Linked DNA regions of Arabidopsis thaliana. The protein of the gene in region 2 interacts with the protein of the main gene of each other region in a pairwise test. Each region holds a gene or a part of one and is shown on either strand. Other genes may lie near its edges.

Evidence for each region.
Region 1: the proteins of AT1G49010 (region 2) and AT1G44810 interact in a two-hybrid assay, tested with the Arabidopsis thaliana proteins (one large-scale study listed by BioGRID).
Region 3: the proteins of AT1G49010 (region 2) and EIL2 interact in a two-hybrid assay, tested with the Arabidopsis thaliana proteins (one large-scale study listed by BioGRID).

What each region holds. Positions count from the first base shown.
Region 1 is NC_003070.9:16,917,287-16,928,412, reverse strand, and holds AT1G44810 (DNA-binding storekeeper protein-related transcriptional regulator), read right to left. Parts: upstream 4,974-11,126; 5' UTR 4,793-4,973; coding exon 3,902-4,792; 3' UTR 3,592-3,901; downstream 1-3,591. Other genes in the region: AT1G44820 (Peptidase M20/M25/M40 family protein), read right to left, coding at 59-157, 246-485, 1,009-1,146, 1,223-2,062.
Region 2 is NC_003070.9:18,123,306-18,134,501, reverse strand, and holds AT1G49010 (Duplicated homeodomain-like superfamily protein), read right to left. Parts: upstream 1,958-11,196; 5' UTR 1,789-1,957; coding exon 1,364-1,788; intron 1,244-1,363; coding exon 724-1,243; 3' UTR 485-723; downstream 1-484. Other genes in the region: CLE11 (CLAVATA3/ESR-RELATED 11), read left to right, coding at 5,517-5,816; AT1G49000 (uncharacterized protein), read left to right, coding at 10,473-10,943.
Region 3 is NC_003076.8:7,177,434-7,188,629, reverse strand, and holds EIL2 (ETHYLENE-INSENSITIVE3-like 2), read right to left. Parts: upstream 6,042-11,196; 5' UTR 6,023-6,041; coding exon 4,445-6,022; 3' UTR 4,288-4,444; downstream 1-4,287. Other genes in the region: emb1379 (embryo defective 1379), read left to right, coding at 1-25, 456-683, 800-874, 972-1,214; AT5G21130 (Late embryogenesis abundant (LEA) hydroxyproline-rich glycoprotein family), read right to left, coding at 1,817-2,662; AT5G21125 (uncharacterized protein), read left to right, coding at 3,202-3,582. UniProt on the Arabidopsis thaliana protein: Probable transcription factor acting as a positive regulator in the ethylene response pathway. Could bind the primary ethylene response element present in the ETHYLENE-RESPONSE-FACTOR1 promoter.

The DNA.
Region 1 (11,126 bases), 1.2 Mb from region 2:
AGCAATGTGAGCCTTGACCATAAGCAGTGTGTCACAATTGTTTGCATATATACATGCTTCAAATCACTTGAGCAGATTCTCCCTCAAAGGAACTTAGAGCGCTGATAACCGATTCATATACTTCTATTCCTTTCATGAATACAGTATCCTTTAGGAACTGAGGCCACAATTAAGTGTTTATATCAGTACTGTGATTAAATATATAGACTCAAAGATGGCAATAGATAATATCATCATGTGAATACCTCGTTATGGTCATGCAATAAAATAGGCGTATTGGTCATTGGAGAGAACCCAAAAGTTGGAATTCCCAAAGTGCGAATAAAGCGTGAATCTGTAGTTGAAGCCAAAATTTCAGGCTTTGCGAGTTTTCCTCCCATTGCTTCAACAGCTTGCTTGAAGATAGACCACCAAGGATTAGAATCATTTACTGGAGTCATTATAGGTCGCCCTAAATGATCTCTTAACTTTCCTTTCTCTTGTATCTGTTGCAAGAAAAAAAAACATCTGGATGTGACTAAAACGAAAACTCTTGCAACAGGTGATCACTAGCAATGGTGTTATATCAAGGGATTTTCAGTCTATCAAACCATGCTTCTTCATTCATCCAACTATCTAAGGTCATATTTCACAAAACCAGGCTCGAACAGCTTCTCTATAACCCTAATAGACAGATTAATGGCAGTAGAATAACAAGAACTATAATGAACATTATAATCAAAACAGAAACGGAATCTAATGTGGAACTATTGAGACTTAATAAAAGTAGCTGAAAGGAATCTCAAACATACATTTTACTAATGACGAAAGCAAAAGTTAAGAACTTTGATACGATCTCTGATCTAAGTATATGGTCAATGCGCTCTTTCACTCTATTTAGCCATGCTTCTTCACAAAACAAAACTACAAAAACAGTTCTGTATAACGCTATAGACTATAGAGTATGGACTTTAGCTGATATTAACATTTCAGATAGCAATACACACAGAAACAACGACATCTACTTACCGAGTAGGTCATGTTCCTAATAGAAGGAGCCCATTCTTCAGCAATTCTTTTCTTCATAACATCAGGATCTGCCATTGGAGGCAACCTTAAATCATACCCAGCTTCTGCTTCTGAAGGCTGCATATTCATCACAAACCCCTGCAAAAGAAAAAACAAACACTCTTATTCTCTTGAACAACAACTCCACACCAAAACAAAAACTCATCAAACTCACAGTAGTAGTAGGAGTTCCAGCTTTAAGATAAACTGGATTCACAGAGATAACCTCCGAATACGCAGCTTTACCAGCTTTAACAAAATCAAACTGTGACTCTCTAAACCTAGAAATCAACTCAACACTCTTCATCAAATTCTCCATAGCTGAATTATCATAAAGCTTAGCGCCATGACCTGGAATCCCCTCAGCTTTAATAACAAAATGCCATGGAACTCGATCAGCGTAAAAAACCCTAAATTCATCGCCAGGATTAGCTTGTCCTTCATCCATAGCAAATCCCAAATTCAAATCCTTAAACTCCGATGACGCCGCGAATTTCATCATCCCGTCGAATCCACCGATCTCTTCTTCAGGAACGTAAGAGATATGAATCGTACGGAGAGGTGAGAAGCCTCTCGATTTCAAGTTTCTGATTGATTCTAGATATTGAACTCCGATACACTTGTCGTCTTGCGCTCCTCGAGCGTAGATGTGGCCGTCGATGGTTTTGTGAGCTGAGAACGGTGGATATGTCCATTTCTCTGATTCGGCGGGGACTGAATCGAGATGAGAGTTGAAGAGAATTGATGGGAGGTTAGGGTTTGAGCCTAGCCATGTGATGAGAAGAATTGGTTTGCCAGAGATGAATTCGATTGTTTTGGTAGTGAGACCGATTGATTGAGCTTGGTTAATGAGGAAGGAGATTGGTGCGGTGTAGTTAGGGTTTGGATGAGCTGTGTTGAATCTTAAGTATTGTTGGAATCGTGTGATTGGTGTGTCTTCTTCGGAGGAGGAGGATTGGAGTGAGAAGATTATGGAGAAGATGATAAGAGTCCAGAGAAGAGGAGATATCGCCATGGAAGGAAGTTGAAAGGTTTTTTTTTCTGTGACACCAAAGTTCAAATTTTTTTCTGAAAGTTTTAATTTGTAATATAAATGTATTTAAAATGAATTAAAACATGAAGTAACATGTTTGAGGAATGAATATTTTTTTAATTACAGTCTAACGGAAAAAACTAATTTTTATTTGAATTTTTAATATCCAATTATTTTGGTTAAAAGAAAAATACACGAAATAATAAAATTATGTAATTTAAAATTTAAAAAATTAAATATTGTTATTTTTAATTAAAAAACAAAAAAAAAGCATTTAATTATTTGGGTATTAAATTGCACAGTTTTATTATTTCGTGTATTTTTTTAATCAAAAATAATTAGATATTAAATATTCAAATAAAAATTAGTTGAGTTTTTTTTAGGTTTTTTCCCTTTTAAAAAATATTTACAAGGATTTTTTGAAAGATTTAAAAGGGGTTTGAAAGTATTTACATGTGTATTGAAAGACTTTATAATGATTTTAATAGATTTTAAAATGATTTACAAGTGTTTTTAACAACTTTACAAAGCTTTTAAAATGCTTTGAAAAAACTATACAAGGACTTTTAAGAGTTTTTTCAAAAATTACAAAAAATTTTAAATACAAGTTTTGGCGGGAATTTATTTGGCCGGAAAAAAAAAATTGGCGGAAGTAATTTTCAACCTCTCTTCACCAAAAGCCAATTTTTTAGCTAGGTAGATTGCCTGAAGTGTTATAAGGGATGAATGGCTCACCTCATATCTTGCGCTAGGAGGTCCAACAGGGCTTGACACATTAACTTCACAATATTGAACTATTTCTAAACAATATAATCATCCAATATTGCCTAAAAGATACCATCAAGTCCATCTGATAAACTTAGGCCCAAAGTAAAGAAATCCCAATCCAGAAAACTATTACTCTTTGAGGAAATAAGCTGAAAAAATCCAATGCAGAGACTAAGAGACACGTGTGAGGCTATTAACCAATGTTGAGACACGTGGGTAGATGAATCAAATGTCGACGCCGGTCATCGTCGATGTAGAAAGCGACCTAAGGAACCTTCAAAACTACCGGAAACCGCTAGAGCTTTTAAACAAAAGAGGGTTAAGGAATTACAATTCTAAATGTAAAAATTGAAACGCAAAAGAGTCCAATCACATCGAATATAAAGAAATCGAGGGAAAAAGCATAAATCTAAACCGAAAAACAATCCGGCCAAAAATAAAAGAGACACCGAAGATAAGCGGTGAAACTCTAGATCTTAGCTAGCCCACCATTGCTATAGAAGCCACCGAAATCTAGACGCAAGCCGACCACCACCGTAAAGAGAAATGGGCAGTGTCAGAACGAGGGCCAGTCTTACGTTGTCAAAAAGATAAAATGTCACCGGACAAAAGTCTAACATATACATTATAGACGTTGCGGCTCTTTTCACAAGAACGATTATGTTAGTTTCCATATACATTACATGCAAATAAGTTATAATTTTCGGCCGCGGACCGCTGACGCAACGATAACGAAAAGAATAGGGCAATATCAAACTGCAGTTTATACCACATAATATTTACATCAAATTATAACTTCGACTGCAATTCAACCTTGAAAACACCTTTTACCAGTCGGAGCCATAGCTTACAAAGTCTTAAGTTCATTACAACCATCGACCAAAAGGCTTACAAAGTCCAAAGTTCTTAAGTTCCTTAGCTAATTCTCACACAAGAAACAAAAAAAGAAGACTAATAAGAACCAGAAACATAGATGAGAAACATATATCCTACGATAAATAACAAAAGAGGCATTACATCTCCATTAAACCTAAACAATCCAAGTCCTTCTTCTTAGATAGTTTCAGCAATCACAGAAGCCACCTCCTTCAAAACATCTATCTTCTGCGACAACAACTCAAGTTCCTTAGCCTCCACCATCTTCATCTTCTCTTCAATCCTCTTCTTAGTCTCCTTAGACACCTTACTCCATTTCCACTTCACAATACACTCATCCACACCAAGCCTCGCAACAACCCGAACCAAAAACGACTTCTCAAACCAATTCGACGTCTCCGAATCTCCTCCAAGAACCACCACTTCCTTACCATCAAGTCCCCAAATAGACTTAGCCAATCCCAAACATTTCTTATCATGATCCAAGTCTAAACCTTTCTTCTTCCTTACACCAAAATACTTCTTCTTTAAACCTCTAATCTTGTCACCGAATTGGATCTTACTAACATCAAAGCTTATGTATCTCTTAGCAATATCAAAAAACCCATTCATATCATCATGAGCACTTGTACCTGTCTCAGCTTTGAAATCAATCATACCTTGTAACAGAGAGATCTCATCTTCTTTAGTCCATAAACTCTGAAATTTTTTGTTATCGTCATCTCCTGAAACTTTCTTAGCTCTTTTGATGTCCTTTGAGCTAGTTCCTTCACTAGCTCGCTTCGTCCCTGATGAATCAGTACCTTCTTTCTTCTTCTGACTGGTTAAGACGATTGGCTTATCTGAGTCGGAATTTGTCTCAGATCCAGAATCGAGAGTTGGAGCCTCGGTGGAAGGAGAATTTAGGGTTTGAGTGGAGAGATCTTTGAGTTCGTTTTCTTCTTCAGAAGAAGAAGAATTGGAGATATGTTCTTTTTCATCTTCTCCTGATGAAATCTCTTCGTCGACGTCTTCGCTTGAAGAAGCGGTTGGTGGATCTTCAAGAGGGTTGAGAAGTTTCTTGTTCATCGGAATTTTCGAATTCTCGGTGTGATGAAGAACAGAGAGAGTGAGAGAGAACAGAGAAGTTACGTAATAACCCTAGATGGGAAGAAGGTGAAGAACAGAACAACAGTTGGGTTTAAGAGTTTGGGCTTTTGTGTATTAAAGTCAGGCCCAACCAAATTTTGTTTGCTAATCTATAACTCTTTTTTTTTTTTTTTTGGGTAAAATTGCTATCTATAACTTCTTCTTCTTTAATTTTGTCTTGAAATTGTCTTCTTATGGTTCAGTTAATTTAATAAAATAACAAACTAAAAACATGTGTAAGAAAACAGGAAGAAGAAAAAATTATTATTGCATGTGTTATGTGTATATATATATACTCCCTCTGTTCATTTTTGTTCGATTGTTTAGGAAAAACACATATATTAAGGTAATCATATTAAAGTTGATTTTAAATGTTTTATTTTTTGTATTTTATAATTTCTTATAACTTTAAACTAATGATTTTCAATTATTTTTATTAAAGTTTATAATTCATCAATAATAACTAATAAATATTGCATTGAAAATCTAAAAATCAACCTTTTGAAACAAATTTTCCTAGAAAATAAAAGAAAACTGAAGGGAGTATATATCAAAAACGATATAAAAGTTTTTCACATTCAATAATTTATGTAAATGAATTACTAACTTAGTGAAGATAATGTCATGATTTTTCAAGATACATGATAACAATTCAAGAAATCTTTTTTTTCCTCGGACCCCATATTTAAAGAAATGAAGAAAGAAAAGTGAAGATGTTTGGCTAATGTTGGTGAGTATGATGAAGCCTCAAGAGTAACAAAGAAAGAGAAGAAGATGGGAACAAACACATGGAACTCCACTCTCACTTTCAAATATTTGTGTTGAGCCCTGAAAGATTACACTCATGCAAGTAGGCATCTATCCACTCTCTCCCATAATTGAAACTTGCGTCACCATTCACTTTCTCATTTTGTATATTTATTTTGACCAAATCATATCCTTGTCTCACAATTGTTTATTCAACTTAAGATCTATAATTATCTTACTTTACTAGCTAAATTGTTCATTTTCTTGTTCATATTCACAACACCAAACAAATGATACTAAACAAGTATCTTACTTTACTAGCTAAATTGTTCATTTTCTTAGACAAAAAAAAAACATGAGTTATTAACCTCGGTTTTTAGTTTTTGCACTTTCGTTTTCACTTAGATCTAGTACATATTTCTATCTTAAATGAACATATACAACTCTTAACATCTTAACCAAGATTATTTTGCTTATCAAAAATGTAAATGCTAAACGTAAATGTTTGCTTTTGGTGTGTGTGCGTTTGCACTTTAATATATTTTTGGAAAGGTTAAAAATAGTTTCTATGTCAAACAAAGCATTCACATGTAAATGGTGCAAAAAAACAAAAAAAAAAAATCATGAAACAATTGAGGCGTATGTTGTATCTCTAATTCGAAGATGGGTGTGGTTAAAAAAAAACGAGGGCCAAATATTATATAATTTTTTATTCTCTGTTTTACGTTTTAATATATCTTATTTAAGTAAATACTCTTAGCTACAATATTTAAGAACACATCATTTATAATTTAAAATTTTTAGTTGAACATTTTCATGTAAAACTAAAGTTTGGTTCGCAAAAAAAAAAAAAATCTTTCTCTAATTTAAATTCGTTCTATTTTTACGATGATTTTGACCTCGATTTTGTTATTAGCGTTAAGCAATCATCAAAACAAATCTTGAATCCATACATTTTTATCCATTAAATTAGTAGTAACAAAGATTTGATCACATTAATATGTCCAAGCTAAAGGTCATTAGAAATGGATACCAATTCTTGACGAAAACGAAAATTTCCTCATTCTTCACACGCGTATATTGATAAGCCAAACATCATGTGAATAAAGACTAATAGAAATCAACTAAGAGAAACAATAAAGTTTCACTGACGTAATTAAAACAAGATAAACCGAGAATAATAATTTTTATGAAAAGTAGACAAAGAAAGTAAGAAACAAGATGGTTCCCAAATTTGGGCATCCCACTTACCTCTGTTGGAATCCTAATTCGAGAGCACCACCTTCTCTAACTTCTCTTATTTCCCCCACTCAGCTTCTCCTTCTACATAATTCTCCATTGCCCCTCTTTTTAAAAATTTTACGTTTCCTTCTACTAAAAACTTTCTAAGGGAATAAAGCTAAATATTTTGTTTTCAATTTATCTAAATAGTTGGAACATTCTTTGAGCAAATACAAGAGTGTGTTAGATACTATATAACTATAAAATTCAGTATTGGTATTGTTAGGATTTGATGAAGTTAAGACTTAAGAGTCCCACACTCCTACATATCAAGATATGAAATGATTATGAATCTTTAATTAAAATTACAAACGTAAAATTGATAATGTCTTTACTCATTTTACCTATAATAGACCATGTTAGTTCAGTAGCTATATGAACTATCTACGTGTGTCAAATATGATGTTATACATGTCATTCTATATTATATGTATTCGTACGTTGTCTAACCCCATTCACTCCTTAAAAAGCAAATGTATAGTGTGGAATTAAGGAACGAACAACAAAACTTCCACTCTAATCGCATTTTGTTAATCCGTATATTTGTTTCTTTATTCAGAAAGAATTTTAGTTGACATTGAGGGAACAAAACAGAAAAAAAAAAACAATCAAATCTTCTATAAGAATATGAATAAGAATAATTGCTGACAAAAAATTTGTGAAATATCACATCTTACATATAGCAACCATCGTATCGTATCCTTAGGTCACATGTATCTAAAACTAGACATATCGAAGCTGAATATCTTTATCACCAGATCATGTTCCCTCAGTGTATATATATGCCACATTTATAAAAGAAAAAAGGTTTTACGTTTATAAATAACCCTTTTAATTATCCATAATCTTTTCTTTTCGTTTTTTGTTCACATGCAATATCCTTTTTTTATTGTTGAATTTTTGCTTGATATAGATCCTGTTTATTTTACTTCAATCTTTTTAGTCACTTGCGAATACACACACAAACACTGAATTCTATATTTAACCAGTATTTTCGGTTAAAATTACATTTTTCAAAGAAACTTTCTATCGACTTTCATTGGTTTTTTACTTAACCAAAATAAAACCGTAAATTATGCAAAAGACTAAAATGTTCTTTTGAAAATAAGCCTTGAACGACCGATATAGTTCGTAGTGACGATAACTCCACTGAATCTTTTAAACGACAACGTAGGAGTCGCGTTGTCTTTTCCTCTCTCAGAGAATCACATATCACCCAAAGTCCCCAAGAGAAGCCTCTGGTGCCGACATAGAGTTAACATAACTTTCTTATCAATCTTGGTTCTTCTTTTTTTTTCCTCAATAATCAACATTGATATATACAAACCTGATTACATAAACGTTCAACAGTTTCTTATATGATCGTACATGTAGTTAGCAGAATCGTCGTATATATCACTACGAATTCAAGCCCATATAATGTGCATCACGTATAATGTTACTTAGTGATTTTTTTAATATTTCTATATATATATATATATATATATATATATATAATTGTATCAGCATTTTTCTTGTAGAATTGATTATAATATCAAATCTCTAAATTTATTAAAGAATTTTCTCTATAAAAAAATTTCAACAACAATTTTATTCAGATTTAAAATTTGATGATATTGCAGCAACGGTAGTAACACAAATGTTTCTACCAAATTGTTTAAATAAATTATGAAATTAGAAGGGAGCATATCTGAAAATCTAACAAATGTTGTTCGTCCGAATCATATCTAGTAAGCAAAAAAGTAATACATCTATGAATAGTTGATTATGTGACTAAAACTAAAACCAAAAGATCAAAGTGACTAAAATAAATAAATGAAACACAAATGTTTTACTGAATTATTTACACAAATTATGAAATTATAAGGGAGCATATATGCAAATCTAATGAATTTTTGTCGTCGTATTCGTATCTAATATCTTATGAATAATTTAAGTGACTAAAACTAAACCCAAAAGATCAAAGTGACTCAAAGAAATAAATTAAAAAATCATCCAAGGGAACAATGATTAAACCCCTTTATCATTTAGACAGTATGGAATCCACTCCTCGCACCACCACCGAACGAACTCTTCCATTTTGTCTTTTGCTTAACCTAAAAGAAAAAAAATTATAGTTGCCAAATCAATAATATCTAACTATGAATATATCTAACAAAATTAATTTCTTTTTTTTTGCAGTTAGCTAGCCTTCTAAAGACATTTTGGATCACATATACACGTTTTCTCCCGAATATAAAAGGATAATTTTTGATTATTGGTTATTTATGTCAATTCAAATACTTTCTTTAAATGGTTAAAAAGAGATTTTAGGAAAATAAAAGTTGGAATAACAAACCAAAGTGAATGTGAGAATGAAAAGGAAATTAATTGCGTCACGGAGAAGCACTAAGACTATAAAGCATTTGGTGGTCAATGTGTCAAAACCCCACTTCAATATTAAACATATTTAAAAGGGCAAAATAACAACAAAACACATTTCCATAAATTCAAATAAAATTTGGAAAACAAATTTAAAATTGAAAATTAAATGGCATTGTATTATTGTTTAGCAAGAGATCCACTTGAGTTAAACACTTCCCCTCTCTCTCTTTCTTCTCCCTCTTTAATTTAAATTTTTATTCTATTTCGTAACCATTCATTTATAGAAGAAGAGTCTATCTAATTCTTAAACATGCATGACTATACATATGATAAATCTAAGTTGAATTGGAGACACATTAATCAATGATTAACTACTTTAACGTCTAAACCTCTTTTTTTGTATGTAGGCAACATTATTCATCTATATCATTTAGTTCTAGCAAAACATTAGGGATTCTAATTCACACGAGGTAGATGTATGGTCGTGTACTTGTATTTAACAAACAAATCATAATAGTATAAGATTATAAAGGGTTGGTATAATTTTGTCTTCAATGAATAGGGGAATCTCCTTTTATCTATTTTATTCTAAAAAAACTATTGAACGTTACGAATTGGACATGCATTAATACGCATTTTGCGTCTAAAGATGTGATATTTAATCTAGTCGGATTAAGACAACTAATTATAGTACACATATCAAAATCCTAATTGCTTTAGGGTTTGACTTACGCGGCTTACCTTTGTGTAGAGATATTTATGATTGTTGTACCTATTTATTAACTTGAAAGGAAATATACGAGACCGTTAGGATTAGGAAAATTAATACTAGTACCTAGCAAACTTCTAATTTCTTGGCACCTGACTTAGGCATCATACTTTTGTGTGTGTTTATACGTAATGTTAATGTCATGTCTATAAACCTGAAAAAAATACGTATACGATAATACGAATACGAAATACTTTCTTGTTTTCTTTTCCAATTAGGTCATTTTCTTTTCATTTTAACCACGAGTGATTCCATAAATTTTCGTGGCCGGCGGAAAAAGTTGCATGTCCACGAATGAAAGTAAAACACATCCAAAGTAAATTTGTAGTCAGTCGGTAGCTAACTAACCACAAATAGATTTGTAGTCATTGTGTTGCTAACTAGTCACAAATTTTGCTCTGACCTATCTATCATTCAATGATATATAATGTCATATTTAAAGTTGTGATAAATTTACGGCCATCCATGATTCTACAAAAAAAAGTATTTTCCAAAAATTCCAAATTTTAACGAGTTATTATGTAGAAATTATTTGGCCCTTGAACCATATATATATACATATATTCATTTGGCCTTCAAAGCCCCATAAATCTTAGAACCAGCTCTTTAACTACAAAATATTGTTTCCCGATCTTCCGCCAAAGTCATAGACAAGTCTGGTTTCCACCACAATCGACCCATGATGATGTGCATGTGATAGTAAACCAAATATTCATGTAATTTATAAAAACTCGATGATCTGCAAAATATGCAACCATTCTTCGAGTTTTGCTTATAGCATTAGTTATTTTTATTTGGTATGATTTAAATTACACGCTTATGTTAGAAAACATCCTGACTCCGTAAAGAACTGAGAAAATGAGAAGTAACTTGTTTCTGAAAAAAAAGATCAGAAATTAATTATATATTAATGTGGAGAGAGTTACAAATATATTCTTGTACTATATTGTAAAAAGTTACAAATGTGTATGCACACACAATCACCTTACCACCTACTACTTGATATCATACAAAACTATGTGATATATCAACTTTAATATAATGCGAACACGTGTTACGCATTGAAATAAAAGAATCACACCATGTATGTATACAAGATTTGCAATTTTGATT
Region 2 (11,196 bases):
TTCTTAACCAGGGTTCCTGCAATTTGGATGCAAATAAGAATACTTTGCATCAAAATGAGATTGGAAGTAGAGAAGCAACGATGATCTATGGAATCTCTCGTCTGTCACCAGTTTGGCACTTGAAAAGTTTTTACCATTCTTAACCTCTTGTAAGAATTTTACATTATTGAATCTTTACTTCTCTTCTTATCATATTTTTGGACTTGGTTACTTTTTTTCCCTGGAATAAGAGATCAGGTTGGCCTGTGCTTCTACGTTTTTGTTATGTATTTTGCAAACAAATTGCTCAATTGGTTTCATCATGCCTATTTTCAGTTACAAGAGATCTTCTCTGATAAGTATAAACTTGAGACCCCATTATCTCACCTCTTAGATTATAAAACTTCAATTTTGGCAGCTACATAGTAACATGCTACGCTACTTTTAGTATTTTTTGGTGAAATTTTCTAGTCAACACTTGGTCTATGACTCTTTAATATGTTTTGTTTGTTGTATCTATGTATACTTCTATTCAACTTTCTCTCTACTGTCTGAATATGAAATCCTCCTATAGGCCTTTGTTTCAAGAAATATATTGAGAAGAAAATCATAGATTTGAAATGGAAAAACAGATTCCTCTGCTGTACATTATTATTTGCCGCAGTTTCGCTATTCGATTTGAGAATGTACACAAGTTTTCAGTACAATATATGTCAGTTTTAATACCAACTGTATTGTTTTCAGTCAGTGCATTGTCGACGGAGCTGGATGTTGCTGCGGTAATGGCGGTACCGGATAAGCCGGTACAGCATAAGGAGCAACTCCAAGATGATGGTGATGGTGATGATGATGAGTTCCCATTGGAGGTGGAAGCATCACAGGTGTTCCAACAGCTGAACCCATATGATCAGGTGGTGCGATGATCGGTTGTCCCACTGGCGCACCACCATACATCCCTAATCCAGCCATTGTTGGGGGATGATGTTGTTGTGGTTGCGGTTGTGGCTGTGGTTGTGGCTGAGCTGGTCTATGTTTAACCACTTGCGGTTGTTGTCCTCCTCCTGTAACCGCAGGAGCTTGATTGTTCACAGTGGTGATGTCGTGAATGCTAGACCGCCTTCTATCTCGGTTCATCGAGTTAAGCCTGATGAAGTATTTTTGAGCATGACTTGCAACTTGTGTTGGAGTTCTTGAGATCACAAAGTTCCTTGAAATGCTTCTCCAATCTCCTTTCCCAAACTTGTCCAAACCCAAAAGAAACAACCTTCCAAACAAAACAGAGTATTCAATAAAGGTAAAGAATCTTCCAAATCTTTTTTCACTCTTTTAAGTCTAAATAATATCAATGGATAGATGATGGAGATGAAGGAGAAGAAGAAGAAACCGATGCTCTTCTTCAGTCCATGGAATCCCTTTTCTTCTCTCTTGCTCAGCTCTCGAGCCACCACTTCTTCCTCCATTGGAGCTACTTATCCCGGAGGTGCCAGGATTTGGTTTCTTCTCAGATGATCCAGAGGAATGAGAGTCTCTGTTGGCAGGAGAAGTAGCTGCTGCTGCTGCTTCATCTACGATGAGACCTTTGCGGTGATGATAACGAGGTAAAGGAACTTGACCATTCTCGATTGCTTTGACATCTTCTAAAAGGATTTGGTAATGTTTCTTTACTTCTTCTAAGGCTTTGCTTGGTACCATTGACGACATTTTGTTCCATTGATCCTCTGTTATCTCTTCCTCTACACAATGCAACGCAATTGCGTTCTCGAATGCTTTCTCTTCTTCTCTGCTCCATGTTGCCACCACACTCTCCATTCGATTGCTTCAATCTTTTCTTCTCTGTTTCTCTCTCTCTCTCTCTTCTCTTTGGTTTAATCGTGTGGTGGACATGATAGTGTTTTTGAAACGCATATGTGAATGGGTCAGATTCTTTACCTTTTGGAGTTTTGTGAAACTTTTTTTTTTGTTTGGTATTAAGTTGAGGTGCGCATGATAAGAATGGACATTTGTATATGCGCATGATAAGAATGGACATTTGTATATGCGCATGATAGTATAGAGGACAGTGCATATGCGCAGGATAAGTAAGAGGTTGATTGGGACTTTATCTTATTCACAAGGATCAATCAGTTGGGTTTGTTTTCTATTGTGTCACTCATAAGGAAAGAGTACGCATAGGATAAGATTCTTGTAGTTGACGATTACTCTTCACTTTTCTTTGAAATTTGATCCTTATTCATTCTTTAGAGACTTTGGTCATTTCGATTTATATTACTCGAATACAATGCAAAAGATTAGTGTAGCTTTACCTTTTGATATTTATAAAACATTTATTTCAAAAAATTTATATTTTTTTTTTGAATTTTGTTAAGACAAATGCAGTTTGAAACAATTGATCACATTTTAAAACTTTATATTAGTGAGCATCATTATAATTAATAGAGAATGTAAATAATAGAGTTTTAAAATGTAAAAGAATGTAAAACAATACCGTCGCCGAGTTTACTGAATTCAGACATCGCGTTTTATAATCAGTCGTAAAGATAAATAGCGACCAAAAATTATAATCGCAGGTCGCTATATCCAGCGACTTCCATACGAACAACATTTGGTCGCGGTCGCCAACGACTAACAAACGAACATCACATAAATAGTATAAATGCAAAATTCGGAAAAACAATAAACTAATCGAGATTTGAAAAAGAATTTTATCAAGATCAAAATATTTTCTTTTTCCAAGATCTACATACTTGTTAATAGAACATGCATGAAAACAAACTCGATTAAAGAAATTTATTTAACATAGTATCGAATACATAAAATGATAAATCTTCATTCAACAACCCATCTATAAATTTCTAGAGCTAGAAAAACGTTTTTTTTTTTTTTTTTACGTCATTTCTCATCTCTCTTTTAAATAATAGGTGGAAATTAATAGATGGGTTGTTGAATGAAGATTTTCTTCCAAATAAGCTCGTATATATAATGGTCATCTGATCCAGAATTTGTCTTTGGAAGGTAATGGGCCTTTCGCGATAAGGAGCTTGACTGTTAGGCTTCCCTGCGTATGTCACCCCACCCAAGTCACTAAGGTACGATCTTTTTTTTTTTTTCTTTTTTTTTTTGTTAAAGTTCTTACCATCTTTCACTTCAATAATAAGTTTTTTTTGAATTGTGAGATCTCACACCATATATATATGGACACTTAAAAGTCTAAATGAATCGGATACTTTACTTTCTATAAGACAACAACAAAAAAGTGTAAATGAATCAAAATATGTGAAAAAATCAACTTAACGGGTACTTAATTCATTGAAAAATTGCTGGCTAGCTTTTTGTAGACAACCTTTTATATTTCCAGTTGTTAATATTTGGGCTTTTGTTGGAGACGTTTCTTGAATATTTTAGCTACTTTCTATGTCTTGAGGAATTTGAACTTTCTCAAGGTGTGTTATAGCCTTTATTGGGGCTGGGTAAAATATTCGTTCGATCCGCTTCGATTCGGTATTCGATTTGATTTGATTCAAAAAATCCGAATATCCGTAAGATTTTGGACCAAAGCAAATATGAAAATGTAGTATTCGTAAAAACCGAATCAAATAGCAAATATTGTCTTTTTTAAAATCGAATATCCGCTTTGATCCGTATCTTTTGATATATATTAGAATATATAGTTATATCTATATGTAGATATCATAAATAGTTTGTGTATTGTTGCTACCTTATGTTTTTATGTTAAGATGTTTGTTTTATCATTTTTTTTATGTTGTGTTTTGATCAATGACATCAAAATTAAACTATCGGATTTTAGTTTTTGGAATTAGTTTGATAACATTTTTGTTGACCGGTAATAACAACAAAGGTTATATTTGGTATTTATAACTTATTTTGAAAGTATGTTAAATAAAAATTTTGAATATCTGATATGCTTATATAGTTTACATATTTTTTTAATATTTATACGTATCAAAGTAGATATCCGCAAATATCACAAAAAAATTCGGATATTCAAAATTCCGGATATCCGGAAAGTTTCGAATCAAAGCAAATCATAAAATCAAGTATTCGATTAAAACGAATCAAATAACAAATATCACAATTTTTCCGGATATTTGCTTCGTGTCCAGGCCTATCCGCCTTTATAGGCCCATAGACAGTATGTGTTAAATTATAATCCAATATTGTACGGATGATTATACTATATAGTTCCGAATATATATCATTGTGTTACAGCTGGGAATGAATCAAATTAACGTAATGTACGGAAGAAGAACTATAGAAGCTTTGTTTTTTGTGGGCTTCAAATTTCAATATGTCAATTATGAGAATAATCAAGTAAATATTGTAAATACATACTCTAATAAGAAAATAAGGCCTAAAGTTTAGGATATGAGAATGTTAGAGTGCAATTTAAGAAAATGTCCGGTGCAACGCGACATTTGCGTGTTTTTCACATCCATGCATGCGTACTATATGTATCCCCGCAATCTTAGTCAAATATCAAATATTCAAACGAGAGATTTCATCTACCGCTGATTCATTTGCTTCGCGTATATCACTATATGGATTTGATAATTACTAGTATATATATTGTTACTATTGAGATTATTACAAACGAACAAAGAAAAACCATTTTTGCCAACAACCAAAAAAGGACAAAGAAAATAAAACAAGTAGTATTCTACTGACATATATGCAATAGATATTTAACTCTCTAATTTCTTAAACATCATTCAATTAATATTTGATGAAATGAAATCTTAAATAATATAAACCGAATATCAAAGTCATTAACTAACAAAAAGAAAGGAAAAAAAGAAGGAATATCAGAGTCATCATCAAGTCAACTACCACCGTGCATTATGGCGACGATATCAAAACGTCGGACTACTCAAACTTTATTTAGACAGCTCAGTTAATTCGAATCTAATTTGTCCTATTTACTAAGTAGCACAAAAACTAATTTTGAGCATTTCTCGGCTTATTTCGAACCCGTATATCGAAACAATCTTTATTTTATGTAACAAATAAGTATAGTATAAATTGAAGATGTAAGGTTAAAAAATGTGCCCAACCTCCAATAACAGTAGGTCATACCAAATACATTCAAAACTTTGACTATTTGGCTTTTTTTTTTAAAAATGGTACCACTCCACCTCCATTCTTCCTTGAACGTAAAGTAACCTTTTTTACTCTCTTCTTTCCCTCATTTTCATACCTTTTTCACAAATCCAATACTCAAACCCCATACATATGTGCCAAATATGAAATTAGTACGTATTACTCTATATCATAATTTGAAATTTTCATTAAACTACTATGTACTTTATTAATTATTCCCACTTATATAAAACTCCGCTCAAGCTGTAATTTCTTCGAGATTAACAAAAAAGAAACACCTTTTTAATCATAAAATCTCAAACCTTTTTTCTCTAATCATTTCTCTTTATCTCTTTCTTGCTCTCTCTCTCTCTCTCTCTCTCTGGCTCCATGACCTCTCTTGCTTCTTCACCTTCATCAAACTCTTCTCTAGCTACAAGGCCATGACGAAACAACCTAAGCCGTGTAGTTTCCTCTTCCACATCTCTCTACTCTCTGCGTTGTTTGTTTTCCTTCTCATTTCTTTTGCTTTTACGACTTCTTACAAGCTTAAATCCGGCATTAATAGTTTAGGCCATAAGAGAATTCTAGCAAGTAATTTTGATTTTACTCCGTTTCTCAAGAATAAAGATCGCACTCAACGGCAACGTCAAAGTCCAAGCCTGACTGTAAAAGAAAACGGTTTCTGGTACAATGATGAGGAACGGGTGGTACCTAGCGGTCCAAACCCTTTGCATCACTAGCTAAAAGGTTTTTGACTTGTTTCAATAGATTTTTGTTGCGTTTTTGGATTAATATTTTTGTTACGACAACATACATGAGCATGGATATATCATGATTAAATATTGTGTAAGTGTATTAAATTGACGTTACCATCATATTGTTGATGGTTTCTTGATTTGAAGGGTTCATTAATATCTATTAATAGCTCCGAATTTTGTATATATTTATAGATATAGATCTCTCCATTATCCTATACAGTACTTGTTATGATGTTTACTGAACATAAATTATTTTTCTCTTATGTTGAGAAAAAGTACATTGTTCATGTTAATAAGATAAGGTACGTGGCGCTAATTGGTTATTTTGAATTAATCTGTTTGGTTAAATGTAGGCATGTAAATTAGAACCAAAGTTTGTATATCGGCCCAGTCCACTCTTAAAAAATAACGGATTCGACCTTAAAAATATAAGTCCAAAAAAAATCAGGTTTTTCAGGCTAATCCCTTTCGGACTTAAGGATTTTTGGGGCTTAATCTGACGGGATTCGAAGCGGTCCGAATAACCTTTAATTTTTTTTGTTAATATTTTCGTTTAATTGAGAGAATTGCTTATTTTTATTTTTTGCAATAGAGTTGAAAACTCTAAATCTAGTTATGTAACTGTGTCTTATTATAAACCTAAGAAACAAATCTTGGCTCTACTCCCAAGTTGAAGTCTTCTGCTTTTATATTTTATTTGGTATGAGTTTAAACAATTTATTTAAATTATTTATTTGATTTGAAATTTTTTGTTTAAATCAATTGGCTTTTGTATTTATTTAGATTTTGATTGACTCATTCTATACAAATTATTTTTTCAAGCGATATTATAAATTATAAGTTTTTTTCTCGAAAAAGCCTTAAAACCTCGGAAAACCTTGTGGTCATGTTAGAGTTGGACCGGACTTTAAACTATAGGTTCAGAAGTTCTACGGGTCAGACAGGACTATCCTGATTCACATGTTTAGTTAACTTTAGCGTATTCGAATAAAGAAAAAACACACACACAAGACATTTTCTATATAAAAGCTCATTTTTAAATATATATATATATATATATTATTGTGAAATTGAAAATTAGCTTATTCCATGAAAATTTACTTTTCTGATATTACTTGTCAATGTTCTTACTTAATCACAAAAGTCTATATATACATTAACTTGCATATTACAAACAGAAGAAGAAAATAAGACACTTTATCGAATTGATTCAAAAATCGTATAGTTGGTTTTTTTTTTCCTGAAATCGTATAGTTGGTATTGACAATTAATCTGCAACAAAAACAATTATCCCCAAAAAATATGGACCTAATCCCACTTCCAAATGTCAACAAAAGAGATGGTGTTTGTTCACTAGCCAATTTATTAAACTATATATATTATGAATACATGAGATCTATGGAATCCGTCATCATATATGAAGTTCGTTTACATATATATCTGTTTATATCAGATCTAGTGTTAGTTTTTACTGCGAAGTTCAGAGCCGAAGTTCCTACTCTTTGTGGACCAAGACAGAACTTAATAAAGAAATATCTTTTTGGAGAACATTGTCCCCAAAAAAAAAGAAAAATTGAACTAGAAGTCCAGGTTCAGCCTCCATTTAGAAGGACCTAAAAATTCACCATTAGGGTATATATAAACTAAAGAAAAAAAGCTTTTGGTTTTGATAAGTACTGTATTTGCTATCGGTAATAACTATATACTAGGATTTCACCCACGGTTTACCGCGAGCAATAGGTTTATAAATATAAATTTTTTAATCAAACATAACTAAATAATATTTGGAAGTTTTTTTGTTGTTATTTAGTGATAAGAGGAATGTGTTTAAATTTTTTTTAGTTGTTATTTACTTATTTTTGTTAAACGGTTTAGATTGAAGGGAATTAATTTTATTGAACGGTTTAGATTGAATCGGATCATATAAAGTTTAGAAGATTGTTAAGACCAAATTACCCTTAATGATTTTGAATAACAAAGAACAAAATCTAAAATTGAAATCAAAATTGAAGCCAAATTAGACAAAATTTCAATTCGTATTTCCTTTATTAAAAGGATAAATTTGGTTCCAAGAAAAGACAGTATAATTCACGCATTTGACGTTTCTTTTCATGTCACTTCAGGCTTTTCTTAATGTGTGGAACATGGGCTCAATTGATTAAGATGATTGGCCCTCTATGACCTTTTTTAATATAGGTCAAATAGAGCCCACACCATCAATACTTTTTACAAAATGAATCAGAGATTATAAATTAACGGTTGTGTAAAATTACATGAGATAGAAATAAATAAGTATGCAATGCCATAGATATGAATCATGAGTTCTATGGCATTGCATACGATTATTAACTACATCTTAAACTTAAAATTATTTGATGCTATCGGTTCAACTTTTTAACTTTTTGGGGACAATGGACTTCTAGTTCAACTTTTTTTTATGAGGCTGAACTTGGACTTCTAGTTCAACTTTTGCTATCGGTTAAATAATTTGGCACACTTTTTAAAAATATCATATGATGCTTAAATTGTTCTTTAATTATATCTTAAATTTAAAATATCATATGATGTTTTCGTTGTTCTGTTAATTATCGGCACAGCATCATTTAAACAAAAAAAATTGTTACAAATTAATGGATAAAACAAAATATTTACTTATATATGTCGTGAACATGGGACCAACCTGATAAACCATGGTGAACAATCTCCACTTTTTCTTCTTTGTAAATTCATGATTTCACGTTTCTTGTATCGTTTTTGTATTTATAAAGGAAAATCTAAAAGTCATCTTGTGTGTTCATACTTTTTTGTATCCCATAATTGCTCTTCATACTTTTACTAAAAAGAGTTATGAGTGAAAGATGTCCAAGGATGTGTTCCAAGTTGCTTCAAGTTTTGCCACACAATAATGAACCTTTTGGGATCACATAAAGTTACTAAGGGATATAAATAAATGCAATTTAGAGCACACAAACTATTAGAAAAAAATAGTTGACTTGCTACGATACGACCAGTCAATTAACCCCCTAAATGGCCTTTCGTATATCAATTAGAAAAAAATATTGTCATCTACAATTTGTTACGTACTCACTATCAAATTTGAATCGGCGTAATTACACGATGTCATCACTAGTAGAAAGTATTACTGTTACACATTCCAAATTCTAATACTAATACTTGGCTAAAAGAGTTTATATCAAGATATAATACTTTCTTGATTGAATAAATATGATATAAAAGTTACAATTTCCAACAAAAATACGTCCAAGTAAAATTTGATTTCTAACTTCAACGGCCAAAAACAATTACTACTGAATCACATCAGTTGATTTGTAATTTTGTATTTATAATTTGATTGGCGAAATAGCTATAAAGATGATTATTTTTCTTCGTAACACTCAAAATTAGAATTGTCATGTTAAATGTTAGTACATCCATGGATATAGTTTACAAAAAAAAAAAAAATTGGATAAAGTTTACATACTCGTTGTTGAAGTATATATATATATATTTTTTTGGGTGCAAATATCAAGTTCAAAATTAAAATACCAAAATGTTAAAAGAATGACGAACCGATAAAGACTGAGTCAATTCTTCGAATAATGAAATACAAAAGTCAACATACGAGGGACCAGCTCCAGCACCGCCGTATTCAAAGATCAAGTCGCTATAAAAGGCCAATCAACGCGACTCGACGACCCAAATAATTACATAATAAAAAAGTAGTGTGTAAAATTAAACTACAATAAAGAATTTCTGAAAAACGTTGTATATTCTTTTCCAAAAACATACATTTTCATCGAATTCAAACAGCAATTAGCGAAACCTCAACACTATTATTATATAAATCACGAGACAATAAATCTTGATAAATAATCTGAAATTTGTTTCACGATCGATGAGAAATGGAAAACTATATATCGTTTTGTCAATATAAATCATGCATGGCCATCAGGTGCCGTTTACGTTCCTCTTACCAATCAGCATGTATATCATTGATTCTTTTTGTCTGGTTATGTACGTTAATCCAATCACCAAAAGAAACAAAGAGATCAATTGCTCAAAATACCAAAAACCTTTTAGTATTTCTTAGTTTGTTCATTGATATTCAACGCATACAAATTTACATATATAATATGCTACTGATCTAAAGAAAAATGGTAAGAAATTAACTTACCATTTATCCAATCATTTTTTTAATTCCTAGCATCAAGACCCACTCCCTTTTTCTGTAATGAGATTTTAAAGGATCTGTAATTTATACTTTAATATTTATGCCAAGATCGTTTAAGCATAACCCACGCATGCTCTTTGAAGTTTCAAATATTCAACATAAATCTAATGAAAACGAAACTTTCAAATTTATTAACAATATTCAAAAACTCATTGTACACATATGACGATATAACAAGTATATGAAATCAACGCAAAGACGACCGATTCCACCGGTAACCTAACACCCTTTTCTTAAATGTCATCAATATGTCTATACTTATATATAACATTAACACACACATTTCGGACACTAGAGATTACATCGGTTATAATTCTAGTTCTTGAGTTTGACTTGTTAAACCCCTAAAAATAGTACCTATAAGAGGCTTCTTTTTCAACTTCTCATTCTTCATTTCCGGCGAAGTTATGGACCGATCAACGCCGGAACATAACTCATCTCCCTCACACAAGCGTCTAAGCGTGAGCTTTCTCGTCTCAATGATGGTTCTCTGCGCCAGGCATGCGAATCGGCTCTCGAAGAAACTAAAGCTGAAGTCAAAGAAGCGAACTTGCAGCGGCGGAGAGGGTGGAGGAGAAAGATTCCGATGGAATATGATAAGCTCGTCGATGAGTTCTCCTCGGCCAAAAGAGTTGTTCACGACTTTAAGCAACAAGGCGATGACCATGGTCCGCCGGAAAAACCCGCCGGAGGAAAAAGCAACCGCCATGGAGGAGGAGCATGGCCTTTGGCAGAGAGAGATATTGATGGGAGGCAAATGTGAGCCGTTGGATTTCTCGGGTGTGATATATTACGACTCTAACGGACGGCTATTAAACGAAGTGCCACCGAGATCACCACGTGGCACTCCATTACCCAGTTACCCGACCCGTTCTTAAGTCGGGTCGCAGTTAAACTTAATGGGAACGAATGATTATTAAGCAACTTCATTAGATGATTGAAACGTCGATTAGGCAGCAAAACAAAATTACTATGTATATAAGAATGTTATCGTGTACTGTATGATCCATTTTATCCTAAGTTGTCTTGTTATATGTTATACACCACTGAAATTTGGATAGGCTATTTAAATTTCAGGGTCCAAAGTTTGAAACCATCATGGTATACTCTAGAGATCCAAATCGTTGTTGT
Region 3 (11,196 bases), on a different chromosome or scaffold from region 2:
TCTTAATATTCGATTGGAGAATCAGGTCAGTCATAGTCTCTGACTTATGTCTATCTAATATTTACCTCTTCATTTATTGACTAAATGAATCCATCCATATCCATTGTTCAATTAACTGATCATGGTGACTTCAATACTGGTTCTACCTTACAGAGTCGCTTGAAAGTATAGTATTCTGTTCTGTATGAGATATGATCTCAAACGATAATCAACTTTGTCGCTTGTGCGCTTGTGGATAAAATTGCATGCACTCTGAGTTGTGTTTTTTGTATGAAGTGTTTTATCCCCGTTTATGATTGTTGAATCAATATGAATAAACGAATCTCAAATGTCTCAGATATTCTCATCTATCAGTGTGGTGAAGACTATTAATGAATTTTAAAGCTATTATTGCTATGGACTGTATAAATGTATTCTCTTTGTTTCGGTTGACAGATCTTGTGTTAATATCTCAGATATCAAGTGAAGCCAGCAGCAGTCAACAGCAAGTCCCTCCTGCTTTCAAGAACTTTTCAATGACACAAAAGGAAAAAACTCTCGATGAACTTGTAAGGGACAAGTGGCTGTGCCGCACAAGAGAGAGAAACATTGGACTTGGTATAAGATCTCTTCTTGACCTTCGCAGTTGGTTCAGAAACAATGATGTTCCTTCCTGTGAGGTCTGCAATGAAGCTGGAGTAAAGGTCTGCATTCTGAAAAAACCTGATTGGATTAGAACTCACATTGTGATGATAAACTTATTCGCTACTGATTCAATATCTGATGCTTTGTTTTCTGACACTCGTATCCAACTTTTCAGGCAGATTTGTGTCCAACCGAAGGTTGCCCTGTCCGGATACACAAGTACTGCCTCAAAAAATTGTTATCTCAAAGGGTACACACTACACACATATTCTTTAGATTTTCCTCAATAATGGTATATGAGTTTGACTTCAATAGTATTTTACATTCTGATCACATTGAAATTGTAGGATGATAAACGTTGCTCTGGTTGCGGGAAGCCATGGCCCTTGAGTAAAATTACAAAAACAGAAGCTGCTGAAGAAGCAATGAATGATGAAGAGGAAAGCGAGACTCAAGCAACAGCTCCAAAAGCCAAAAGAAGAAGACAACAGCGAGACTCAACTGAAAATGGTTCTTCTCAAGCTTCTTTAGCTTCAACTAGTGGTGCTAATACGAGAAGAGTAACCCGTAGCGTTGGGCACTCGAGGTAAAAAACCGTTTAAGAACTCCGGTTTTAGGGCTTAGATGTATATTTTGATGGCCGTTCTATGTCCAAACATCACTAGAAGTTTGGTATGATCTGATGCTTTCTCTTGTGGATCATTAATGGAGTCATGGAGTGTTAAAATATATTTAAACTCCTCGGTTAAAGTCTACAATATATTTAAATTTTAATTCCGAGAATTTATACTAAAATGTGATTTTGTCCTTTGTGCATTTAACTAAAATTCAAATGAACTTATAAATGTAAAATTTTAATTTAAAATTTTTTATTTAAGAATGGTAGGATATCTTAAAATATTTCAACAAATGTTAAGATATCCAATTGACTTGAAATGCATTAATGCCGAGTTTTATGATTTTTTTCTTATTAAGAATCTAATTTCACCTAGATTTTCTACTAATTTTAGTCATTTCAAAATATTTCAGTCAATATGTTTCTCTTTTCCAAATGTAAAACTAAAATTCAAACTTCCAATTTGAACAGAGCAAATTTCAATTTTAATTCAAAAATATATATTGAATCAAACAAACTAAAAATAACATAATTCGAACAAAGCCCATCAAGGCATAAACAAAACTAGCTCAAATTTTACAACAGGCTCAAGCCCGTTTCGCAATTTTCCGTCTTCACAGTTGCTGACGCCGTTAACTTATCCACTGTTATTTTGCAATCCACCGTAATGGTCATCGTCCACGTTGTAACGGAGCCAACCTTAAACTTAACCGGCGCTTTAATTCTGAGACCAAACGGCACTTTTCCTTTCTTCTGCGATTCCGTTAACTCTTTACGCGACGAGCTCTTTAACTTAACACTCGATCCCTTTAACACCGTCACGATCACCGTTACATTACCCGCCGGCTGCTTAAACGCCGTGAACTCGCCGTTCCCAAGTTTGGTTCCGTTAAAAAACACGTCAGCCTCATTTCCTTTCTCGTATATCAAACCGAGTTTACCTTTAACGTTCTGAGATCGCAACTTGATTCTGATCACCGGAGAAAACGGAGAAGATGACGTCAGGTTGATTCCGGTGACGGAGACTCCACTCACGGAGAACTGTGGCTTATGCGGCTGGTAAACGAGGTAGAAGAATCCGAAGGCAATCGCTGCGAGGACGATAATGATGAGTAAAGCAGAGAGGGAATAGCATAAACATCGCCGGCAACACGATTTGTTTGTTTTCCGGCGAGAGAGATACTCGTAACGGTGAGCATTTTCCGGTGGAGGAACACGGTAGATCTGATCCTTAGGGAGTTTGATGACGTAAGTCCCAGGCGGTGGTCCTATTCTTGATTTCTGAGAATCGACGGAGTATCGGCTGGAGGAACTATCGTTGGTATCTAGCGATGGATGCTTTATTCTGTGAACGTCTTTGTTAGTTAGGAATCCGTCGGAGTTTGTATCGCCGGTCATTTCTTGTGGTTTCTCGACCGTCATTTTTCTTGAATCAGAGAAATAATGCGAAGCAGATGAAATGAAGGTTTTGATTTGGTGACAGTAAGGATTTGGAGTAAATCATTTTATTATAAGATAAAGAAAGTGCATATTTGGAGATTAGGACGTGATTGCATGAATATCGTCCAAATATCATTTTGGAGATTCTTTTAATAACAATTATTTAATGAGTATATATTATTTTGTTGATTATCTATTAAATTTTCCATTAGTACAGATGGAGAAAGAAATTGGAGGAACCTTGAATGGAAAGTTTTAATAGAATATACGGAATGTAAAAATTGGTCAATGTAAAACATTTTTGCCAAGAAAAAAAATTGAAGAAGAAAAAAAAAAAAAAAAAAAAAAATATTGAAGAAGAAAATGAATGAAATAAAGTAATAGACAAAAGAGCTTAACTTGACTGAAATGAGAGGATGCAGCCAATCCTAGCATGGAATGGAATAGTGGTAAGAAAAAACCGGTAAGGATTTGATCATTTGAATAAATACAAATTTGTAGATGAGTGATGTGATCATTATATGGGAGACGATATGGGAGGCAATAACAAAGGGCATCTTCAAAATCAGTACAGAACCGACTGGGCTCAAGTCTTGGATTATGTATCGAACCAAAGCAAAGTAGAGCGGAGAGCTATCTGTCTCGCTATGCTCTACAAACCACTGTCTATACAATTTGAAAGGAGAGGAATGGAAGAAGGCACAAAAAGGAACCACATCCGGGGGCTCTTATCACAAAATGGATTTATAAACAAATTTGTATTCATATTTCCACCATTCGAACAAGAGGAGATAGACGGTACGACAAAGCGTATCAAGCATGGATCCTTGCTAGAGTTTAAGCTCCTGAGGTCACCAAACCAAGCTGCTCTTTTACAAGCGTTTTTTTTTTTACTCTTTTAGATCTTTTTAAAATTTATTTTCAAACTCACGAACCACTAAATTGTACAACGAACATTTTTTTTTTGAATATAATTTAACATTAGATTCAAAAAAGTAAATATGATCATTATAGTGAATTATAGCAATACATTGAATTTTTTTCTTTTATAATCAATTGTTTCGATTTTCTTTATTTGTATCAACGGTTGTATTGGAAATATTTATATTTCTTGTAAACTCTTTATAATATAAGTATTTGATTTGCCGAAAAAGGTATAGTTTTATATAGTAAGGTCTTCACATAGTTTTATTTTATGAATTTAATATGCGAAATATCATTTAAATATTTCTGAAATTATTCATATTAACTTTAAAATAGCATATCGTCAAACTTAGTTTATTTGATTTTTCAATTTGAGATTTATATAGAAATACATCTTTTAACCATTAATCTCTTTTAAAGGCACAAAATTAATTTAACACATAAAAAATCTGTTATTTATAGAAAACAATTCCCTATAAAAAGACATAATAAAAAGACATAAATAAAAATATTATCATACCAACAAAGTTTAAATTATTTAATATTAAAAATGTCTACAAACGCCTTCTTCCTTGAAGCCCAAGGCGAACACAAATACACACCTCTAAAGTCTAAACAAATAAAGCATTTTCTACTGTTCTTTTGTCAAAAAGAGAGGCTCTTCAAATCACATAATGAATTACTTTGAATTTGGTTATTAACTTATTATGAAACCTAATCTTCTCCATTGCTACATGGGCTATGAAATGGAGAGATCAAAAACTGTGTTTAATGAGAGAATAAGCAAGAGACAAAGCTATAAAGACTAGAAAACATAAAAAGAAAACTCTGAAGCTTTCTTTACTGAATCCAAGATGTGGGCAACTCTTGCCCTTGATTATGCAGATTGTTCTCTGTTCCTACTGTTTCCTCACCTCCATTGAAGTCAGTAGGTAAGACTAAACCAAGATTCTGATTCAGCGTCGAAGGAGAAGGATTCAAATCCTCAACCAAGTCATCGTTGCCTCTTTGTGGAGCTTTTGGTCTGTAGAGATCGTTGGGATGATTAAACTGGTCTTGAAAGCTCTGAACCTGCTGCTGCATCCCGTTATAATCCGGACAAGGAACCATTAAACCCGTCATACCATAGGGTTTAGTTGGTTGGTAGAAGGAAGTGACTTTATAAGGACAAGTCATTTGGTGATTCTCTCTTAAGTTCCTGTCAAGAAATCCCATATGTGGTTGGCTATAAGGACAGAGACTGTTCTCACATGTTAGGAGTGTTGGATGCATTGGCATCCCAAAATCTTCTTCAAACTTTCTCTTGTAAACACAGTTGTAGTTGTTTTCAAATTCAGGATACTGCTGATTGGTCCGATGAGTGCCACCAATCAGTTCAACATCATAGTCTGTAGATTCAGGAAACAAAACATCTGGGTCTCCACCGGTTGCAGGAACAAGAAAGTTAGAAGTGTTGTTGTTTTCTCTAGACATGGCTATTTGATCAACAATAGCCTTTTCTCGGTAAAGAGCAGCGAGCCATAAAGCGCCTTCTCTTGACGTCATTTTCTCCTGCAAACTTCTAGACCGTCTCACGAGATTGGGTATGTTGCTAATGTCAGAAGCCATATGTCTGATTACACCAATCAAAACACCAATTTTCCACAGCTTCTTGAGATCATGAGGCTTCTTGTAAGGTGGCGGAACACCTCGAAAATCAACGGGTAAAGACAGTTGATCCCACCAATCTTCTTTCCCCGTTGGCCACCATGGCGGTGTCACGCCTTTCTCCAACGGAAACCGCCTCTGAGGAGGGTTGCAGTGAGGAAACAGAGCCGATAACAGAGCTCCAAGAGTAGTATCTTGAAGCTCAAGCAACTTCTGTGCGGTAGAATCCCCAACCTCAGACCCTGAATCACTTCCATCAGAAAGATTGATATCCCTTTGGTGCTTGATTATAGCAGCTGGGCCGTTCCTATCAAACCTCACTTTGTCTTTCCACCATTCACGGAGATTATCAGAAGATCCCGCTACCGTTTTCCCATTCTCTAACACAATCCCATAAACAAAACCTTGAGCTTTATATCGCTCCATTGTCTTCGACATGTACTTCAAGATCCCATCTTGTGCCTTGTACATGGTTCTCTTACTAGAGTGCTCTGGAAAATCATCATGTTGCTGCTTCAACAACAATCTTGTTCCTAGACCGTTCTTCGCCATTTCCTTGAGCCGCTTTAAACGCTGCTTGTCTCTCCAGATCTTCTTCTCAAGCTCCTCTATTTCCATTTCCTCATCACTACTCAGATCATCGCACAAAGCCGTATGCGAATCAGAACACATATGTCCCTCTGTAAATGGAGGCGCCGAGCTACAAACTAAACTCCGGAACATCCCTATATTGTTGTTATACATATCCATAGAATCTGCAAATAATGTCATCAACTATGATTCACTTTAAGAATAAAATTGCATAATCATCGTCATTTAGTAATGCCGTATTTATCAAAATCTAAATTAAAACTCTCTAGCAATAACATAACACAAAAGAAAAAAACAGAGACTTTTAGTGAAAGATCGAGAGATCTAACTTGTGAAATAAGATTCATCATATGAATAACACAAAGATTTAGAGATCCAAATTCCATTAGTTATTACTCCCAAGGGATTGAATAAATACTATAGGAAAACTACTACCAAAGAGATTAAGTACATAATATAGGAGAAATATTTAGAGAAGGTAAAAGAAAATCACAAACAAGATTAATGGTTTATCATCAAATGATTATACAGTAAAAGCATCGATCTTTTTCTTTCTTTTGATTCTTATCAAAGCATATAACGACAAAACAATCCAGTCCGTATTACTACTGAAATACTTGATCTTGCAAAAGTGAAAATGGAACCCATCGGACAAAATATCAGATAGACCAAACCCAACAAGTCAAAAAACAATATTTGCAAGCAGACAATATACGTAAAAGCAAAACAAAACAAAAACAAAAATAAAGAGAAATCGAAGGAAGAAGAGAATATACCCAGAAAACTCTTGAGACCTTTGTGTTGCTTCGGCCACCAAATTCAAACCAAAGAAGCTATTGGGACCTTCAGAGAGAGAGAAGAGATAGAGACATGTATGTATGTATGTTTGTGTATCTATATATATTATGAGCATTAAATAAGAAGAGACTGCGAAAGGGTGGTGATAATAGGCCTGTAAAAACCATGCTAAACGACACATTTCTTTGTGTAAGGATATGGTAAAAATTTCTTATTTATCTCCTTTGAGTTTCATTCCATTTCTAGTTCAGATTCTTTATTTAAATATATAGTCACTTCTTTTAAAAAAAAGAAAAATTAACATGCCCATAAAATGGTTATTTCTGCCTAAATTATTTTTTGTTTGATAGCCTAAAATTATTAATATCAATATAAAAAATATAATCATGTCTACTATAAGAAAAATATCAAATGTAGATGTATGCTTAAGCGGGAAAAATATAACCCCTAAACATAAAGCGAGTATTTTTGAAAACAAATAGGAATCAAGTACCAAATATAGACATTTTCTAAGGCACGTAAATTTACTATTTTAATGGTATAAAATCGTAGCATGTAATTTTTTTTTTATAAAATATTTAAATAATAGCTTTAAATTAATTGGTGCGTATGTTTGAATTTTAAAATTTGTTAATGCATTTAATTTCATGGGGAGCTGTATCTAAATATATCGGTCTAGATAAACAAATAGTAAAACAGTAAGTAGTTCCGTACGATCTATTTATACTTTAAAAAAAACAAAATACAACCTATTTATACTAATTTACTTGTATTAGTTTTATCAATTAGTTTTTACAATGGAATTTAAATGAGATTCTTGTAGTTCTACCAAGTCCTGAATACTAAAAACTTATCATGCCCAAAGACTTACAAAATAATTACTCTCTTTGTATCAAAATAAAAACGTTTAAATTTTTCCATATTAAGAAATTAATGATTTTCTTTATTTTACTAAATCAAAAGATATTTTATGATTTATCTAATCACAGTCCAACCAATAAAAATAAAGTAAAAAATGCACATTGTCATAAAATATATAGAAATTATTACATTTTGCTTTGAAAATGTAAACAAATCACATAATATGATATAGAAAAAAATATCATAGTTTTAAATACAAAAGCTGGCAGAGTATGAAAGAAAAGGGAAAAAATGTTGCCAGTACTCACTAATTAATTCTGATACATATATGATAATGCTAAAAAAACAAAATTATTGAAGAATTCCTTAAAATAGCTCAGAATTGTGGCGCTTTCAATTTCTTACAAAATACCAAATTTCCATGATTTTTGTTTAAACATTTAAAAGCATACAATTTGACATTCTTTAGAATAGAATAAAAATACTTAGTTTACCATTTTTGTTTTTGCATTATATTAGTATATGCTAGATATAAGAGCCTTTTAAATTGCACAAGCTCATAGCATTAAAATTGAAAAGTTTCATATAGGTAAGTATTTTGTATTAAGAATTGTGAATTTTGTATTCTCTATGAATTTATGATATCTTATATATACTAATATACATTCAATCCCTTTGGATACTGGCTCTAAATATTTGACCAACAGATTGGTTTCTAGTATTACTGTCTATATATATTTCCCCATTTTCCTTTAAGCATTCCATAAATGTATTTTTAATATAAAATTAGTAGTTAACAATGTTTTTTATTTTAATAATTTTCTATTTATCCAGACCATCTCAAGAAGCCAAAATTTAAAGATGATAATATGGTGTTTTAAAATCTATTTAAAACAATCCTTTGTAGCTTATTGTATTGTTTTCTATGCTGAATTGTAAACTGTGTCATATAATTGAAGATATTATTTTTTCTTTAGACAAACAAATATATAACCTTCTAAATCACATTGTCTATATATCCAATGGACGATTATGATTCTTATGTAAATCGATCAACATTTTTCACAGTGATATTTGTAATGCACGACTCAAAAAATAAAATAAAACTCTCATCAAATATTCGTTTTTCGATTTTAAAACTCTCCCATTAAAAGATAGGTATTTGAGATTTCGTAATCTTGGCGCCATACTATAAATTGTCGGGTTTCTCATTGCAAAATGTTATATAAACTACTTAATAAATCATGAAATGTTGACCTTTAATTATGATGATATATTATCTATAACTGTTTGTATAACGGTCAACGTGTGGGTAATGAAACAGGTAATACTTTCGTTTTATTTTATTTTGGTTATCCTTTAGAAATGTCAACTAGTTATCTAAATATCATATTTGATTTTAAGTTCAAATGAGATACGGTATATAGTACAACTATATATTATAGGGTATAAAACCTATTTCAAATCAAAGAAAAACAATACCAGCATGATGTTTTTAGTATTTATTTCTTAATATGATAATATAATGTTTTCTTAGAGAAAATGTAGAAGAGGTGCAATGAATATAACCAAATAGCCAATAGGAAAGTAAACAAGTGCCACGAAGGCACGTTTCGTCGCCAGCAATGATTCTTTAAAATGTCTGAAACGTGTCTCCCGGGATTTTTTTGTCGGCTACTCCACAATTATTGGAACTCTCGTCGTTTTCCTATAAGTAATGTTTTATTAATATAGTATGTGAAAATATGCAACTATCTATCGTACACATTAACCAATTAACGACCACTCGTAAACTGTTTTTAACGTCCTTGCTTTGGCCTATATGCCTTATAGTGCCCATGTCTCTCGAATGGTCGGTCGCCAAAATTATTCAAACTCAAATCGTGTTGAAAATTCGTCAACTCATAGTCATAGAGGCTTTTATTATCTTCTTATAAGTACACTTAAAACACATTTGACATAGATTGTCACTTATTATTCAAACCGTAAAATGTCCATAACCATTAATTATATCTCAATATACTACTAGACTATGCACAGTTTCAAGAGTTTTGCGTGCTAGTAGGGCTTGAGATGTAACTAGCAACTATTACAATCATGAATCCTCTAAAAGTAAATTCCGATGAATTTATACCTGCTTCAAGGTAAATGATACGGATGAGAACAAACGGAGTTATCTTGACACCATCAACAATAGAAGGGTATTCCCACAAAGATTGATCCCCAGCCTCCTTCCTCGAAAGATACCATAAAGGATTTATGCAGCATATAAGGTATGTAGCGTTTAAAACTAAGTGACAAAAACACATTAGCAAGGCATAAAAATGTAAAGTCATGAAGATATGTAAAACATATTGTGGCCGAACTAAGCCTAGAGAATCAAATGCAAAACGATGAAGAAGCAGGCCTAGACATTAATTAGTTCAACCTAAGTCCTATGCACATGTCAACGGAAGTAGCAACACGTGGCTGTCCTATGAAGGTCCATGATCTTGATCTTTCATTTGCATCCATATTCCCAATGTCGAAAGTTTGAGGTTGTAGCCATGGGTAGTGTTTTTGCTTCCATTGAGCTCATGATACTAGCAGTTTCTTTGCATTGTAGATATTGGGATCATTTGGTTAGTTTGAATCTCACTACATTGTCTTCAGTTTCTACCTATTCAAGGACAACCTATTTCTTAACTTCTTTAGGAGATAGAGTGTGAATGTCTGTCAGGTGTACACAGCTCCAAACGAATGCGGGTGAGGATTTTGAGATTATGTAATTGTGTCATCACGGTGCCCTGATTACAGTAGTGGGAATTGGGTTATAGTCTTCTAAAGCAGTCCGAGAGGGCGCAATGGATATTCGTGTTCTATCATTTTATATGCAAGGATGCAAACAATAAAAAGTTAAGACAAGTGAGATGAGTAGCAAATAGCTAACCAAACTCAATAATGTTGCTAGGCCCAATGAATCTAAGTTTAAATTCAATTACAATGGAGAAGTCTTAAGTTTCGATTGATATGAAATGTACCATAACATATTTATTAATAAAAAAACTTAAATTTAAAATAAATATCATCATAGCGAAATTGAAGCAACTTTTCAACAATCTATTAGTACAAAGCACAAATTCAAGCATCAAGTTTCCAAAATGCTCATTTAACTCAAATTAAAATTTTCAATTTGTTGTCAACAAAGACGAGTTGTCCTGCCACTATCTCGTCAACTCCAACTTTCTTATATGACTTGGTATATTTAGGACTATTTTATACTTCTGTATCTCTATTTTTTTCTTTTGTTAAATCTAAAACTCAAATGTACTTATACAAACTTGTATTTGAACAATACCTTTCCAAATAACAATTATTATACAACATCACTTTGTATATTTTCACAAAACGAAAAATAGCAAACCCAAATATTCTCACAACTACAGATAAAAATTATCTTAAGTGAAGCAAAAGTTTGCCGGTGTAGTTTAACTAAATTTGATATTTTTTCTTCGATTTGTCCGATTCCACTGATAAAATAAATCACGATGAAGCTCTATCCACCAAGTCAATTCGGCTGGAAAGAACTCGCTGAACTAATCCCGATCAAAATAACCGATATAACCAACTAACCAACTAACCAACTATACCAATAACATGAACCAATCTTCGGTTGACAACATACCGAACACAACCACAAAACAAAAAAGCACACT